Saccharomyces cerevisiae S288C: one gene and its partner. The protein of the gene in region 1 interacts with the protein of each later gene in a pairwise test. Each region holds a gene or a part of one and is shown on either strand. Other genes may lie near its edges.

Region 1 (3,575 bases):
GAAAACCAACCCACTTAACAACATCATTGCACAACCATAAACTAGGACTCTTCTTCGGCCCCAGGAATCCGCATACCAAGTAAGAATGTAAGAGCAAATTACATCCCCTGCCAGTGTTAATGACATAAACAGCCCAATTTTATCCTCTGTCATATTGATGGCATTTAAAAAAAGCGTCAAAACTTGATTTGTTAAACCATATGATAGAAGTCTAAGAAAGACGGACGCCCATAGTAGCTTTATGTCTCTACTTGCACACTTGAATTTAACAAAAATTTCCGGTGCCATGGTTACGTTAACTTTAGAAATATTGGTAAATCCTTCTGCAATGAGCTTTTTCGAGATGTGAAAAATTAGTAGAGTTTTCTTTCGTGCCTTTTTTTTCGGTGCGTCAACTTTAATATATAGTTATAATTGCTCTATAATGCTAGGCAAAAATAAACGAGAAGGAAGGTGAGTTTTAGTTCATTGACTAAAAATGAGCAAAAAAAGTCAGGAGTTTTTGTTTTGAAGGGCACTTCAACTCTCGAACTATGGATTTACAGTTTCTTCCTCGTCTTTTTAAGTAAAGTATTTTCAAATGACCAAAATGTAAATAAATTTGAAAAGGGCCCTTCTTTACGAAAAAAAGATCAAAAAAATGTTCACAAACTATTTCACGAAATCAAGACAAACATATAAAGGAGAAATACAGTGGAGATTAGATAGTAATGTTCGTAATACCTGTTACAAAGTACTTTCTATTGTTATAAAACATTTACATATTGTGTAAACCAATAATATCACTCAAAAGGAAAGTAAATCGATTTCTTTGGATGATGTATGGTTATTATTGGTATTCTGTTCTTGTTGAACAGCTCCACCATGCATTTCACCAAATTCGTCATCATCATCTTGATCTGTACTTAGTGCAGTTGTGCTATTAGATACAGGATTAGAGGCAGCGGCTTTCGCTTGGGATGCTTTAGGAGCACTAGGTGCTTCTGCAGATGCCTTTGCAGTTGAAAAGAGAGAGCTAAAAGGATCTACTTTTTTAGGTTCCGCAATAGCTGGGGTAATCTTGCCTTGGTCGGTAGTGGAGCTGTTATAAAAAGGCATTGAACTCGTGGTGGCGGGCATACCCTCAATTGGGCTCGTGTTTAGCAAGTTAAACGAATTAGCAGGGTTGGTAACAGGGACGGCGCTTTGAAATTCTGAAAACTCGTCATCATCGTCCTCTTCTTCGTCCGCCTTCTTTTCATCTTCTTGTATGAGTTCTTTAGATGGTTTTGAAGACTCACTAGAAAAAAAGTCAACAAAGTCCTCTGGTTCTTGTTTTCCTTGCCCAGGAGTAGATGTGGCTCTCGAGGCATTATCGTTATATCCATTTTGACTAAAAGAACCATCTTCGTTATCTTCATTGTCACTATCGAAATCAGCACTCACGCTAATGCCGTGCACTTTCGTTGACGTGAAACCTGCCTTCGAATTCAAACTGCCATCAGCAGAGGCAGATCCTCCAGCAACGCCCTTGTACTTCTTTGCCGTTTCTCTTGCCTTTTTTCTTTCTGCGCGTATCTTATTATCGTCGCTCAATAATTCAATCAAAGCTTTGACCCTAGTTCTGACATTAATTCCTTGATCTCTTCCCTGGGAATCAATATAGTGAAAAGTTTCTAAAATCCTAATTAAGTTAATGCTATTCCTTGTATCATCGATAAACCTTTCAGAACCGTGTTTGATAAGGTAATCGAGCAATTGCAAGGCTTTATAAATTTGCCTCCACTCACTACCTGCCTTTTCAGTGAACCTTCTGAATATCATGGACAAAATTTCTTCTCTTTCCCTGAAATTGTAAGTTCCTTGAGAAATCTGGTCCATTAAAGTGGATGAGGCACCCCAAGGCTCGTTGTTTGTCGCTTCACGAACTTTCCCCTCCATCTCAGTATAATTGAAAACAACATTTTGAGCTTTACGAAAATATTTCTTGGCGTCATATAATGACATGTTGGCTAATGTATCCTCTAAACTCATTCTTCCTAACACTAATTAACGATGTGATCTCCTATCGACGTCCCTACACCTTCCTGAATTGGTAATTTTTGCTTTCCTCAAATAACTGTATCTACAAATCATTTCATGATTCTTCTAGTCCCCTTTTACTTTTCCTAATCACCTCGCACAACGTACGGTGTGACATGTATAAGAAATTGAAGCCATGTTTATAGAGTATATACAAAAAAGCCTCTCATGGTTATTATTCAAAGTCACTCTACGTATGCAAATAAAATAAATGTATATACTGAGGTGAGGTACTTAAATGCTTATTGAAGTAAATAGCGAACGTTGCTGAATTGGCTTAGCAAAATGGTTAACCACTGAATGACCTCGTTTCTATCAATATCAGCCAATCCTTCGTGAAGGCCGGGCAAAACTTCCCCGACAGATCCCTCAAACTTACTAGGTGCTAAAAGAGAGTACTTCATCCATTCCCTGTCTTTCAGTCCTCTGTGTGTAATAAATAATTGATCAATTTGCTTTGATTTGCTATTGGATCGTTGCAGTTTAATATAGCTCTTGATTTTTTTGTAAAAAGCCCAAACAGGTAAAGCTTCCCTACACTCTTTATAGAGAATACCATTTTGTTGGTCAAATTGGATGCTATCTTCCTGTGTGGCAACTTTTAATAAGTCCAGAACCCTTTTTGCTAAGCTGTTCACTTCATCGTCCTGGGGAAATGCTGAAGATAGATTAGAGTGCCATGCGATATACCAGTTATATATTTTCTTCAGGTAAACATGTGTATTGAATCTTGCCAGTTCGTTTTCACTCAGCATCAGCGTTGTCAAACCTACAAACATGGCCATGGTGTTGTGTAACTTGTAGTCAGAATTGGTAAATTTTTCCAACCAAGTTGGGCTATCGAATACGGAGTTACTATGATAGACTGCGCCTGAAGTATCATTGGCATTAAACTGAAAATGTGCAGCGGGCACTCCAAGATGGTACTGAAATGAAGTGTAACTAGACAACCCATCAAGTAGAGAAATAGTGGCATTAGAAGTGTATTTCCAATGGTCGAACAATGACCAGTCTTCGTGCCCATTAAATTCCGTGAGCTTAGCAGCTTCGTATATCACGTCTTGTAAAAGTGGGTTGGCTTTACAGTGAAAATTTGTCCCAGAGATTGCATTATCTAGATTTAGGTATACCAAGGCCCTTCTCCTGAGAATCGCAGCATGAGCTTCTGCATAATCTGTAGATCCCAGAAGGCCGGATCGTTCACCATCCCAACTTATTAGTTTGATAGGACGCAGTGGCTTCCAACCATGCTTAAGTAATTTACTCATTCCTCGTGCAATTTCTAAAAGAATAGCGCTGCCACTATTTGCATCACCGGCGCTACTCGAGGCGAGCGAATCCCTATGAGCTCCGATAATAATCTCCCCCTCAGTGAATATACCAGGGATACTAACCTCTACACTACTCATTTCCTTGATGTTGTAAGTTAGCTCATTATGCAAATGGACTTTATCGATAGAGCTTGAAGGTCCAGTGAATGATCCAAAATCTTTTATATTACTACCGGGCCCAAT
Region 2 (3,210 bases), on another chromosome or scaffold:
TTCAACACCAAATTTGTTTTGAGATAAAGAGCCTAGATTATCCCAAGGAAATGGAACTACTCGTTCGGTAACAATAAATGTGGATTGGGGGTCGGAATCAAATGTCTCCAGCACCGTACAAAGTCCTGGAATCTTCAAAATTTTGCTCTTGTGTACAGCATTTAAAATTAAAGATTCATTTTCTGGAGATCTTTTTGCCTTAAAAACTGTTACTGGCAAGGAATCTGCCTTCCTTGTACCATCGAAACATTGCCAAAGGGCGGTTTCAGTGATTGCAGTTTCCTCTATGGTGTATGGGAACTGGAAATTCGAAATAGATTTGAAAATGCTGGAAAAATTCATCACTTACAGATACTTGTTCACCAATAAAAGCAACGATAGTAACAGTGTCAAACTCTCGACTAAATAACTTGACGATATTATTGTTTTTAAGATACTTATATTTAATATAATCATAATATAAACAGACAAAGAGAAAGGGCCTTTTTGAAGGTGAAAAAAATAGAAGATGTGCGCGAAAGCGTGAAATTCAAAATGCGTATTGCTTTAAACTTTCTTTACCATCAATCGAAAAACTGTCTCGTAGAATGTTAATAGCCGTGTTATTTAGCGCATGTATCTATTCACCAATGTGGCCTTTAATATCCGTTCCACTCATTCTTCTGGTGTTGCAAAGATTAACATAGTTAACTGAGCAACACCAAAGAAAACCTAAACGAAGGTTATATGGAATTAGCCTCAGCATAGAGTCCTTTGAACGTTTTATTGAGCGGTAAACCAACTACGTTATAGTAATCACCTTCAATTTTTTCAATTAGAATAGCACCTTGCCCTTGTATTTTAAATCCACCGCCAACCTCCAGCCCATCTCCGCTTTCTACATATTCTTCCAATATTCTCAAAGGTATTTTGTTATCAAAGTATACCTTGGTTTCATCTCGGAATGGTACCAATTCAAAGTTTTCTCTGCCGTACCATTTAATTAAAGTCACAGCGGTGACAACGTTAACTGGTTCATCATCTTCATAGCAAAACTTCATTAAAAACTTCTTTTGGACCTCTTTTGTTTTAGGCTTCTCGTAGATTCTCCCACTCTTATCTATAATAATTGTGTCTGCACATATGATAAGCTTAGGTTTATCAATTTCATTTGGGTTTTCATCTTCGTAATCTGTCAAAATCTCGATTATATTCTGCGCTTTATGCCAGCTAGTATCGCACACATATCCAATCGGATCGGTAGAATAATTCATTTTATCAAGATTCTCTTCAAAAGTAGAAACCATTGTTTTTAAATCGGTGATTCCCATTATATCGTGTAAAATTTCATACCTCCGTGGAGAGGTGCTGGCCAAAATGATATCATACTTAGAACATATAAACCCGATTACGTCGGGTGGCAGTTGACTATTTCCAGACATTACGTTTGGTGAATGTGCTCTTTTTTTGATGCGGTCAGATGTTCCTTTCTTGTGTTCAACTGGGTTATTTTGCCCTTACGTCTCTTCACGCTTTTCGTCTGGTAAAATACACGAAAGGTAATAAACAAGCAGATGCACCTGTGTTCTTTAAATAAGGTTGCTGCTGCTACAAAATACATATTACATAGGGCGGACATTGCTTAGCACTATCCTCTCTTTTATTCTATAAATCTTTTCTGATTGAACCTCTTCTTTATCTCCCGTGTGATCTCTACTTGTGTTAGTTGAATCCGGTAGTCCAACGTCTTCTTCTTGTATTTGTATGTTTGGGTCGTTGGCAGTCGATGAGCCTTTACTTTGACCAGCATTTGTTGTTTCATTCTCTTCAGTCGGTGATAGTAGACCGGCTGTCTTTTTATGTACATGTGCAGCATTTGGGAAAGCAAGCTCCGTGCCAACAAGTCTCTCCCAGCTTCCCTCATACAATCTATTTCCGATTCTAAACAACGGAGCATCTGTTTCTAAACCGGAATATTGTAAAATTGCGCTCTTTGCTATCTCGGTCCTCTCTTTGTAATTGCCGCTGGGAATATCAACACTGATATAAACGGTTTCTACTTCCGTTTGATCATCTGCTTCTGGTATTGGTGAGCTGGTTTTTTTTGTCATTTGTCTCTTTTTGATATCAGCATCTGAACCAGCTTCTGCCACACAATCAAAATTCCAATTCATTTCTTCACCACTACTCAAAAACTCGGTATTCCCATTCATCGTTAAAACCCATTTTCTGTCACTAAATGGTATATAGGTAAAGGATGTTTGATCATCAGTTTCATCTATAGTATCGTAGCTTTTTTTAAGAATTTCGTATTTGTCTAATGAGCAACTACCACTTCTTATTTTATCACCATTTTCATTCAAAGACATCCGAGGATTATCGTATCCCAGCAAGCTCATTCCAAGGGCAATCTTAGATGCAGCGTGTGTGACCAACAGTATGCACTCAACATTTGGATATTCCTTTTCTACACGTTCAATAAATAAGGGCCAAAATTTTTTGAATCTCATATACATCTCCTGTTCTGTCTCACCCTTTTCATTTGGTGTTAATGTAGAGTCCCATTCTTGGCTAATGACACCTGGAAAAAATTTGCTTAGTATCTCATATCCAGCAGGTACTGGAATAACAGGTTTTCTATCAGGTCTATACCATTCCCCGATACCCCTTTCTAGATAAACAGGTATTTCTAACAGCTTAGCTATCGGTTGTACAGTCTCAAGACATCTATAAAATGGAGAAGCGAAGGCGGCCTCTGGTTGATTATCCAAGGACAAAAGGTAATGGGCCAACTCTTTGGCTTGCTGGACTCCGTGTTCTGCTAAAGGAACATCGCTATCAATTCCTGTAAGTGGGTCAGGATATGGACCCTCCGGAAGCCAGTTGGATCTGTATCCATGCCTTGCGATATATATCGTGTTCACCACCATAAAATGTATTGAAAAGGAGTAATATGTTATTGAGGTAGAAAAATGAAGGTAATTAGGGGAAAGCCTACTGAGGATTTATGGATAGTAGAGATTCTCTTCCACCTTGCCCATAAGTATTCACCAATATTTAACGTATATATATTAATGTGTCCTATTTTTCAGCTTTAAACCCGGCGCGCCTTATTAACGCACTCCTTTTCTCTCACTGAATATTTATATAAATATTTATCTAAATAAAATCACATAAAACAACCTGGCCAGGTTAGCCCCCTTGTTTCTCTTCGTTCATTTAAAGGGATAC

What was found.
Region 2: the proteins of ENT3 (region 1) and YOR111W interact in a two-hybrid assay, tested with the Saccharomyces cerevisiae proteins (2 studies listed by BioGRID).

The regions. Positions count from the first base shown.
Region 1 is NC_001142.9:653,951-657,525, forward strand, and holds ENT3 (Ent3p), read right to left. Parts: upstream 2,014-3,575; coding exon 787-2,013; downstream 1-786. Other genes in the region: YJR124C (uncharacterized protein), read right to left, coding at 1-288; VPS70 (putative zinc metalloprotease), read right to left, coding at 2,304-3,575. UniProt on the Saccharomyces cerevisiae protein: Involved in the recruitment of clathrin to the Golgi network and endosomes to form clathrin coated vesicles. Plays a role in the trafficking of clathrin between the Golgi network and endosomes.
Region 2 is NC_001147.6:528,640-531,849, reverse strand, and holds YOR111W (nucleotide diphosphatase), read right to left. Parts: upstream 1,422-3,210; coding exon 723-1,421; downstream 1-722. Other genes in the region: COPI-interacting protein CEX1, read right to left, coding at 1-342; transcription factor TFIIIC subunit TFC7, read right to left, coding at 1,602-2,909. UniProt on the Saccharomyces cerevisiae protein: Nucleoside triphosphate pyrophosphatase that hydrolyzes dTTP and UTP. Can also hydrolyze the modified nucleotides 5-methyl-UTP (m(5)UTP) and pseudo-UTP. Has weak activity with CTP.